Linked DNA regions of Drosophila melanogaster. The protein of the gene in region 2 interacts with the protein of the main gene of each other region in a pairwise test. Each region holds a gene or a part of one and is shown on either strand. Other genes may lie near its edges.

Region 1 (3,757 bases), on a different chromosome or scaffold from region 2:
GCATCCGGCACTTCCGGCGGCTCCGCCTGGTGAGCCTGGTGTCTGGCCACTGGAGCTGCCCAGCTGCAGGTGCGAGGACGTCGACGTTGGACTGCTGCTGCTAACCACACGCGGACTCATGGCCACCGCTGTGGTGGTGCTGACCGCGCTGGGCGCACTGCCCGCCTCCTCCTGTGCCGAGCTGGCCGTTGGAATGCCTCCCAGTCCGGAGGTTGGCGTCTGCAGGTAGGGATGATAGCGAACACCGGCGCTCTTGCCATAGTCAACGCCCACGGTGCCAAAGGCGTAATCAGTGCCCTGCTGCTGCTGCTGTTGCTGCTGGTAGAACTGCTCGTAGCTGTTGATGTAGCTGCTGGCGTAACCCTGCTGCTGCTGCATGTCCCCGCCGTAGAGTCCGCCGTAGATCTGCTGCTGTTGTTGCTGCTGTCCGCCAGATGCGGAGTACATGTGGTGGGTGGCGTACGGCTGGTGGGTGATACCCGTTACCTGCTGCTGCTGTTGCTGCTGCTGGGGATCTCCTCCACCCATGGCCTGCTGCTGCTGCTGTTGCGATTGTGGCTGCTGCAACTGTTGCTGCGTCGATTGCTGCTGTTGCGTGGGCTGCGGCGTGCCGGGTTGATTATCACTGGAGTCGGCGGCGGCGCTAATTGTGGCATTGGGTGTGGCGGGCGCACTGCCTACGCCTCCCGTTCCTCCCGCTCCTGGTCCGCCCGATCCTCCTCCACCTCCTCCTCCTCCTCCTCCTGCTCCTCCCCCACCACTGTCTGTAGCACTGCTGGAGGCGAGCGCCTCTGCCGCGTGCAGGGGCGGCATCTCGGTCTTAATGCTCGTCATGGACCGCTACATAAGTCGATGCTTGGTGGCTGCTCGGTGTTTCGCTTCTCATGTCTCGAGCTCTCCGGGATCAGTGGTGCATCCTCTGCTCCTGCTGCTACGCTGCTTGCTTTTCGTTGGCTCTGCTGAGCCGATCGTTTTTGTTTTGGGTTTTTATGTTATATGCTCTCGTTTCGTTTTATTTTTTTGTGATTTTTTGTTTTTTTGTGCTTTGTATTTGTACTGAAAATAAGCCAATTATTGTTTAAGCCATTATTAGTTTGAAGTTACTTGAGTTGCAAACGGAAAAAAAACAAACACATGCACACTGTGTTTTCAAAGCTTTTGGTGTCTAACGGTTCTTGGTGTCCATTTCACTTCGATGCGAAATTGCAGGCACTTTTGTAATTTGATTTGTATGGTGGAAATACAATAGCTTTTACTTGCGAACGTAATGTCAACTGCAATTGTTTGTGGAGAGCACACATGGACGCTCACGACGCACACTAACACACACACTCGAAAAAAATATATACATGAAGGATCCTCGATGAAGATCCCTTTTCCGTTCTCTTTTGCTTTTCTTACTTATCTGCGCCTCGCTTTGGGCACTTCTTCGTTGGACTTGGACTTCTGCTTCGCTCCTTCTTCTTCTGCTCCGCTCCTCCTCCTTCTTCTCTTTCACCGCTCCTCTTCGGCGAAACGAAAGACACACAACAGCAGACTCGATAAATAATACGAAACTGAACTGAACTGAACTGAAGAAACCAATATCGGAACCGCAACGAATGCTGGTCAATTTTGAATTTCGAATTTTGTTTTTGCGAATTGCGAGGGAAGCGAGAATGGCGATGCGATGTGATCACACTCTCCCTATCTCTCTCTCTCTCTCTTTCTTGCTCTCTCTCGCCACTTTTTTTTTTACCGGTGATTTAGAGTTTTTCGGTTTGGGTTCGCTTTTCGCTTCGCCCTTTTCCAAAAGATCACTGGAATTCGCGTTTATCGTTTATCGGGGATCGGATCGAACAGAAAAAAATTGTTTACGAACACAAGTATTGCATCGGAATTAAATTTGTTGTTGATTCCCGAGCCGCGATTAGTTCGTTTAGTTTGTTTTTCAATTGGTTTGCCGAAAAGTTGTTGCCAAAAATGTTGCGTTTTGTGAGTGGGGAAAATGAAACAAAAAAGGGCGCTAAAAGTAGCCGCTCCACTCCGTTCGCACGCTTCGTCGCTTTTTCACCCGTGTCCTTCTGTCTGCTACGGCGTTCCAAATACAAATGACCGACAAATACACCGCCGTGCATGCGGCACATTCGTTCTACCCGTTCTGCCGGCAGCGACGCCGGCTGCGACTGTGGCTGCGGCGTCGCAGTCGACGCACATGCGTGGCTGTGTGTGTGTGTGCGCTATATACACTGCGCGGCGGCGTTTCGGTTATGTGCGTGCTGTCTCTGTCGCGCACGGCTGCCGTCAACGCCGCTGCATTTGATTTTGCTTTGCTTTTGGTTTTGCCTTTGCTTTGCGCTGCCTTTACTTTGCAATACCCTTTGCATTGAGAGTACCACAAGTTAGCTCGGAATCAAGATAAAGTATCCCATGCATAATTAGCATTAGTTGAGACCTAAGTTTTGCAATCTGTTTAGATCGAACTAATAAATCCTCTCGAAGACATGTACATAAACGATTAGTCGCAATTTGAATGCTTATATTTTTATGCCTTGAATGGCATTATTAGTGAAAACTGATGTTTAATATACATATATACATATGTTTTATAATGCACACATATATACATACGTTTTATAATGCACACAAATTTGAATCCTTTTTTGCAAGCCATCACAATTTTCCACAGAAAATTGCTGAACGGTTATAAAAAAGTAATTTAAGTAAGGTCATTGATAACCGGTTTTGCACTTAACAATCCGTAGAATTTGGATGGATCGCAATTGTAAAGTGTATTTGTAATAATACACAACTTCTGCATTGCCTTTCTAGCAGCAAATCAATAGCTTTGATCGTGTTAAAATGATTTTCCACTGTTTATTTATGAAATTATTTCGCTGTATTTGCGTTTCTGGATATATACAGCGAACTGCATATATTTAAGCCGCCCTAGGCACTAAAAATTTTATATGAAATTGTTTTCTTTAGGATGGTTGGATTTCGAAATGTTTATTCCGATCTCTAGCTTAAAACTCTGGCAGTTCGTAGAAGTCATCTACGCTATGAAGAACTTACCATATAAATAAATGTTTATGTACTCTATTGTAATAGCAAAATTTAGCTTAAGTGGCGATAATGTGGATTTTTCAAGAACACAGCGAAGATTGGTTGGCCCTTTTGTGTGATCCACCGATTACCATATCGCAACTCGCCTAATTTAAAGCTGTGTTGCAGTTCTAGGCTTGGTTGCTCAGTTGTGCCCGTTTTTTTTTTTTTAGCCTTGGTACGAACGGCGGCTTATTAATAGACTCCTCGAAGCGTCTTAGTCAGATGTTGACTCACTGGACCGGGCCAAAACCAATTCGCACTACTAGCCTAGTTTCTGAGCGACCGGCAACCGACGATTATCGACGTCACGGGCCTCGTAAAAGTTGAGAACGTTCAAAAAATTAATAAACCAAACTTTTATTGCGTTGGGCATACGGGAGTGCAGAGCTGAGAGACAACGAAAGCTAATCTACATTTAAAAAGAAAGGAAAAAATCGTAAGCTAGGACTAACGGATACCCTGTTATCAGATTCTGTCATAAGATCATAAGCTCACTAGAGAAACTTTTTTAAATAGAAGACTAGAAGAAGACTAAGCATGTAAGTAAGTATGCATAAGTATGTATGTACATATATATTCCAAAGATGCAGGCGATCTTTCGTCTTTCGAATGGGTATGCTTTTTCCAATCTACGATTAAGGGGTATAAATAGCGACAGAAAGGGTTTGAA
Region 2 (3,757 bases):
TCTGTGCCATATTTCCGATGTCAGAGTCGCTTGGGGCATACGAAATGTCGCATGTTTCTCTGACAGGTCGTTAATTAATTATTCCTCGGCCCCGTGCGATTGCAGATCGGTCGGTAATCGCAGATGACAGGAAGAAGGTGGGTAGGGATCGACGATGTACATTTGCATCGGACTCGAATGGAAAACGCAAGGAACTTCTTAAACGAGGAGTCAGTCGATCCGATCGAAGGAGCAGAACAGAAATAGTTGAAATATATATTTGGAGTTTTCCATGACTACTGTTTTTGGTGTGAGTAACTCATATATGTTATAATTTACATATTTTTTGAGCAACAGTTTTCCCACAGTGTACTTAAGCAGCTTAGAGTCCCCCCAGTTGGATGACTCATTTCTGCTCCCCCATCCGCAACTTGGTCGTTCCATGTGCACCGAACAATGGACCACGGACCGGGTGAATTATTTTACTCTCCGCCTGCCATTTTCCTTTTCATGCCGCCGCAGATCTGCGCAAATTGCGTGGTCTCCGCCCTCCGGTCTCCCATCTCCCATCTCCGATCTCCGGCCGTACAGTTCGCCCGAGTAGACCGTGTCCGTATTGCTGGACCGGGGAAGAGTTCAAAGTCCTGTTAATGTACACAGAGGCCAAGAGAATGGCGATGGCCAACAGAGGTGGCTTCGGTGGCCTTAACATGCGTCTTCCCCTCGCTGCCAGGCGTCTATAAATACCTGATGCCTGATCCCAAGCGGCAGGGGCAGGGGGAAGGGGCAGTGATCCCAGCATAGTTTACATTTTAGTTCAGGCTAAATACGAGTGCACAATAAACAAAAATCCAGAGCGCCAGCCTCAACCTCTGGCTGCTTCCCAGTCCAGAGTCAATGCCATGCACCATGGATAGACAGCGTGTATGCCATACAGTAGGCACACCACCCCCACCCACTGCGCCTCAGTGGATATGTCGGATTTGGGCATCAGTTTTTGTTTACCCCAGATCGCAGGCCCTCATCAATCGTTGCCTCAACTGCAGTTCCCGTTGCCGGCGGTTTGTTTACGGACCCGCGGCATAAACATTTGGACGGGAAAGGACACAAAGGAGCGGGCTTCACCTGTAAATCACGGCGGTTAATTATCCCCGAACCGCCGCATTAATCAGGTTCATATGTATGCACTGTATGATCTGTTGTTTATCCGCTTTATGCGCCCAAATTGGACGGAGGATCTACGCATCTACCACCGCGAGACAATGGCCATACCCATACCAATGCATATAGTCATGCGGAAAGATACCAACTATACTATACTCGTACGTCCCGGTCACTATTTCCCGTTCGCAGAAGCTCATTGCCAATGCAAACATTGCTCACGTAAATGTCAAAATATCAAAAGAAATAATAATATTAATTTAACAAGTGCGGCCCGTTCTGTCCGTTGGTTGGGTGGAGTGAAGGGGGGGGTTTTGGGGGGTGTGCAATGGGGATCGGAAAACGCCGCTCATTTGCAGTCACGCGAATCTGTTGGCCCAATTTGCCAAGCAGATTTTCGATCTTGTTTCGGTTCCTGGGCAGATAGTTATGCACGAGCGAGGTGTGTGTTCTATTGTGTAATCGAAAGGCGGTAAAGGTGCAAATTTGAAGAGCGAAGTTCACTTTCCACCACCTTCCGTTCACATTTCGCCAACTCACCCCACGCAGTTCGAATAGTTGACGGAAAACAATCCACTGCCGTCGTCGCTCCGCCTCGAATATAGACGGATGATTCAGTTGCCGATGGGAAGTCAATGCTTTATCACACACGGAGCGCAAATTCCACGAATCTCATCACCCGCCAAGAGTCCGCGATGGCAACGGGTGATGGGTGATGGGTGATTGGTGATGCTGATTTTGGGGATCGCACTGAATCTCGATAAGTGTCAAACGGATTTATTAGTCGCACGGACGGATTGCGCATCCGTGAAGGCGAGCGAACGCAGCGAGATCCCAGGAAGAACTGAGCGTTCTTCGCCAGACCACTTACAGTTTTTACATCTTGCGACCGCTGCCGCCGCGGCGATTCTTCTGCCTCCGGCGGCGTCCACCTCGCGGTCTCGGTCTCCCATCCTCTCCTACATTTTCGTACACTGAGAAAAATAGCCTTACACTTCTGTATTATGCACCCCAACTGTATTAGTATTGCAGTTTCTGTTATTTCCATTTAGCTATTTCCATTCGGATTTATTTCTGGCATGGGACCCCCCGTTTCGCTCCGTGTACATCCGCATCCACGTCGAGGAGGTGACGAAGCTGACGCAGAGCCAGCAGCTGTTGGTCGCTCTTGCCGAGGATCGGAACGGTACGGATCGACATCGGCATCGGCATCGGATCGAACATGACTTCGAGAACGAACCACGACGCAACAGCGACGGAACAAGTGTGCGCGGTTTAAAAATAACAATAATGTTTTCATTGCGCTACCCTTTCTCTGCGCAGCCCTCTCTGCCATGGCTTTCCATTGCATTTTCCGAAAGGGAAAACTGTGCCCGAGGTGACGAGGCGCTCCTGCTGGCAGGACCACTGCGCAGAATTCTTCTAACGATCCGCAGTCAGTGTCAAAAACCTTACACACTCGCTGAAGAACAGACAGGGTTGTTGTAATAGGTCTTTTTTTTTTGTATTTGTGGTATTTGTTGTAAACTGATGAAATTAATTACTTGAGCTATATAAGGATGTAGTCTCACATGTTAAGATAAATGTTTTATATATTAGTTGCCTACTTCCCCTTGTAGAATCAATATATAGTCTGTTTTAATTTTGTATGTCGAGAAGATTATCAATTCGATAGACTGATAGCTGTACCTCTAGTCTAGCTAGTGATATTTCGGTGACCTCGACTGTGGGAATTTGCCCCATGTGTCAGTGTGTTTTCGCCTGCCCCATGCTGATTTGCCTAGAAAGAGAGAGGCACTACTCTCGCTTCGTGGTTGGGCAGTTTCTTCGGTAGCCGAGCCGGCTACCCGTCTTCTCCCACTCTTCTTGCTGCTCGGATTCTTCTCCTGCTGTTGGCTGATGGGGATGGGAATGGGTGCTCTTCGCGAAGAGTGACGCAGTCGTATGCAATTTGGCATTTTCCTCGCCTGCGTACTTGTTGCGGGCATCCAAAATAGACTCGCTCACCTGAACCTCTCCACCCCATTCCATTCCGCCCCCAAAAGTGTGCACTCTGCAGATTCCCCACCTCCGTTGGCCTTAGAAATCCAACGGATTTCTCGCAGGTGTTGCCGTTTTCTCTCGTTTCCTCCACTTTTCATTTTCGACTTTTCAGGCGTAATGAACTTAATGTCGCCCCTTTGGGTGTTTTTTTTTTCGGTTGGGGTCTTCAGATGTATTGGGTGCTAACGTATTTTCTATATATTCGATATGATTTATGCCGAGCGGCGGTTTCTGTGTCTGTTTCTGTTTATGGTTCTGGTTTGAATTGGATTTTGATGTTTCACAAAAGATCTTTACAGTTGGGCGGGGATTGTAATGGGTTTATTTATAAGGCCACCCCTTGTGGCCAACAAATGTGTTTAGTGGCTCCCTGTCCGCGACTTTATTTCCCGATCGCACTTTTCGCACTTCTTGTGGCATTTTCACACTCTACAACTTGCTGCCCACGCGACGAAGACAAAGGAAATCGCTTGGTGGCGAATGGAAAAGCTAAGAGGAAGGGAAGGAAGGGGAAGAAGGGGTGGGCTTTGTCTGGCGCCAACATGGAAATGCAATTTGAGTGGTAAGGTCAGGC
Region 3 (3,757 bases), on a different chromosome or scaffold from region 2:
ACTATCAGATTAAATGTCATCATTTTTTTGTCATAGCGATATTTATTATATCGATTTTGGCAAATAAAATGAGAAGATATGACAAAATTGTTCTAATATGTTGTCCTGGCCGTTTTGTGCGTTTTGTAGGTAGTTAGGAGGGGCGTAAACAAAATGTTTTTGGTACAAAGAATCTATAAAAATTGGCAATTGACATTTCTATTACAATGTCTCTAGAATCTGTATGCTTAGTCTCCTGATCTCGACGTTTATAACGACGGGCATATGTATATGGCCAGATCGACTGGGCTATCAATGAATGATACATATGTACATATATTGATACATATGTATCAATGAATTAAACCTGATATAATAGCAAATACAGCTCCTATAGATAACACATAATGAAAATGAGCTACTACATAAGTATCATCTATAATAATATCTACTTATGAATATGTACATATATTCTTTCAACGAATCTAGTATACCATTTTACTATAAGGGCAGAAAACTGAAAACATTTTGTAAAAGTGTGGGAGTAAATTTTTTGGCGGTTTTGTGGACGTTGACGTGGGCTCGGCAACATTCTGCAAAAACCTTGATAGCTAAAAATTTCGGCTTTTTTAGTTTCCGAAGTCTCGACCATCAAACGGACCAACTCTTCTCTCTATGTCCTTTTTAAACAACAAGTAATAGGTGTAGAAAAAAACAAGTTTTCCGTGTAATTGTTTATTTAATAATATATTATCCTAGGGAGATGCAATCCTAGTAACATTTTTTGAATAGCAAAGAATAATATTTTAAATCATGTACATGTACGTTAAATGTTTGAAAAAACTTAACAAAAGTGAATTTTTTCGTTACTATGTATTCGTCGACGCATTGTTGGTTTACCTTTATTTTTTATTTCATTTTATTTTCTTCCGATTTAATTTGTAAAATGATTAATTTTTTCAGAAATGGCGACAAATGGAATTAAATTTGTTTCTCCCATAAAATTCGAAGTAACTCATCCATCTTTCGAAATCACTCAAACATGCGAGAGCGAAACAGAAACCGGTCGCGCTCTTGTGCTCACGAGACAATAACTGTTCTTGCTCTTTCGCTTGTCGAATTTTCGAAAACAGTCTGTGGACAGAGGCGTTCGGATGAGGGTCTCGAACTAGGAAATTGTTACAAAATATATGGTAACATTTCGCTAATAATAAACAACGAAATATTTATTTATTAGTTCTTAAACGTACTCACAAAACATAGGTACCATATCAACCACTAATAGATTCTTTCAAGTTGTTAGCTTACACGAAAATGTTTTAACCCCCTCTTGAGATGTACGCCACTGACCCTACAAACCGCAAAACAGCTGATTTTTGTCGGTATGCAAGCAAACCTTTAATTAATGACAATTTAATGGCCAAAAGCAACCAAAATGTATTTACCAAACAATAATTCCATAGTATTTACCTTAGTTCAAGTCGAAACATAAATATGTTCATTTTATTTTATAATTTTGGGGTATACATATGTATATTACGAACCTGTGGATCGGAGTGCAAGTAGCAAGGTTGGATTAGAGGAAATAGTTTTTTCTCATCAAAGCAGAGCTTAAACACTGTTGCTGATGCGTATTTTCATTTAAATTCGATAGAACAAACTGTAAAACACAGATAATAAAACATAATTCACAGCGCACTTTTCACCAGCAAGCGTACGACGCACGCGACGAGTTGCTTCTCCCACAAGAAGTTCGAAATTCGAAATCGTTTGTGCAACTGAGAGAGAGAAGTTCGAATATTTGAGTGGTTTTTAAGTTCGAAAAACACCAGAGATTTCTGATTAGGGGGTAATTTACTTACAATTTTTTTTGATTGGACTTCGTGATCTTTTTCATATATACATTTATCGAGCTATAATTCCTAACGGTTAAGGTCTATTGGGGTCTCGAGGTTAATACGAACGGATAGATTGAGATGGCTATTGATCTTAATAAAGAATATTTGGATCGGTTCTGTCTAGTTTTTTTACTCAACTCTTTTTTACTTCTTATTTAAATATTTTAAGGTGTAGAATATGTTTCGCAGTTGTGTCTCATCGTTTGTGTCCCAGATATGTATGTATTTACAGCTGTGTTCAATAAAATAGCAGTGCGAGGGAAACTAAGAAATACAAAGGTATTTTCCCTTTTTGGAATCGACTTTTTATTTCACTTATTTTTGTAAAATGGAATGTGTATATAGGAATAAAAAGAAAATCCCAATAGTTTTTCATGTTATCCTTTTCTGCTTAAATTCTTGAGCAAATTCACAACTTTTATGCTGTTCATAAGAATAGCAGTGTCTGGTTTTGTCCAACGTAAAGTCCCGAAAATATCAATATTTTCTAACGTGTGTTTGGTTCGTATATTTAAAAGAGCAATAATTAAAAAAAAAATAAATAAAAAATATTGTATATTATAGTAGATAGAGAAAGAAAAGAATGTTAATTCACCAATCAAAGAAAACATTTCACACATATTCTGCCTTCAGTTGTGTCCATAGAAATCGGGGACACAAGGCAAATCCATTTATATTGCGAAATCAAAACCATTTTTCCATGTCATTGGAATCCTCCACTAGAGGTGAACTAATTGCGTGTTCAGCGCAAAATCTTTTCGATTTATCGCCTCAGGTTGATTTTATGCTTCACATAGACACCACACAGCCGCTGCACATCCACATATTGATGCAGCATCCAAAGGACCGAAATGAGAGGTGGGCTCCAGAGGGCAACGGAGCGAATACCCGCTGATTTATACGCTTCAATCCCACATTTTTGTTTCTTCGGCTGCCATTTAGCTAAAATATTTCATATCCGAATTGCATCGCCGTCTCGAGCCTTCGCTCCTTCGTCTTCGTTTGGCTGCCAGGCAGAAGACTAGAGCGGGACGCACTGATGGCAGAGAGTGGGAGCGAGAGGGTACGCAATGGACAGCCGCTTCCCCGTAATTATGCGATTTGTTATTCGAGATTTGAGGCGATTGTGACTGGGCACCATGTAGGCGAGGAGGCGCTGAAGAAGCAGCAGTTCCACCGAGAAATGATTTAAACTGCGATTTCAATTCTGGCATTTCTGATTCGCCCAGTGTCTGTGTTGCAACTTGAGGCCCTCCCATACCATCTCCACAATCCGCCGCGCGGACCCCGGACACCGCAAGCTGAATTCGACACGCCAAGATCTGAGTATCCCAAATGATAATGCTGCGGCCATTGCATGTGCGATGGGCAGTCAGAGTCGGACGGGCGGACTGACTCCGGACCAACGGACAACATCCATTCGCTGACTGACTGACGTACTTGGGGGCTGACTGATATGGGTGGAACCAAAAGGCTCACAGAGCGGCGAAGTCTTCTTGCTGGACGCCCTGCAGCAGACATTATAGCCAACGAAAAATATTGGTTATATATTACAGTTTCTCAATATTTTAGTCAGATTCCGAAACCAAGCGAGAAAAACGAGTCATCGCTACCCTACATCAGGACAGTAAATATATGTAAGTATACTAGATTGTAAGTGTACTAGATAAGAATGTAGAATCAGTTTTAATCAAATGAAGTATATCTTGTGCCCTTCGTACACCCCGTGGAGCACGACTACAGCGTTCGCTCTTGTACAGTAAAAGGGTATACTACAAAAGATTCGTTGGATGAAGAAAGCATTTTCGACTATATAAAGTATATAAATTATTGATCAGGATCAATAGCCGAGTCGATATAGTTATGTCCGTCTATCCGTA

What was found.
Region 1: the proteins of Kah (region 2) and zld interact in a two-hybrid assay, tested with the Drosophila melanogaster proteins (one large-scale study listed by BioGRID).
Region 3: the proteins of Kah (region 2) and CG31612 interact in a two-hybrid assay, tested with the Drosophila melanogaster proteins (one large-scale study listed by BioGRID).

The regions. Positions count from the first base shown.
Region 1 is NC_004354.4:19,781,453-19,785,209, forward strand, and holds the start of zld (zelda), read right to left. Parts: upstream 2,097-3,757; 5' UTR 1,402-2,096; exon of another isoform or gene 1,057-1,401; 5' UTR 835-1,056; coding exon 1-834. UniProt on the Drosophila melanogaster protein: Transcription factor required for zygotic genome activation (ZGA), a critical event in early embryonic development during which the developmental control passes from maternally provided mRNAs to the expression of the zygotic genome after fertilization.
Region 2 is NT_037436.4:587,283-591,039, forward strand, and holds the start of Kah (kahuli), read right to left. Parts: upstream 1,993-3,757; 5' UTR 1,681-1,992; intron 1-1,680.
Region 3 is NT_033779.5:21,793,723-21,797,479, forward strand, and holds the start of CG31612 (uncharacterized protein), read right to left. Parts: upstream 1,726-3,757; 5' UTR 1,672-1,725; exon of another isoform or gene 1,524-1,671; intron 1-1,523.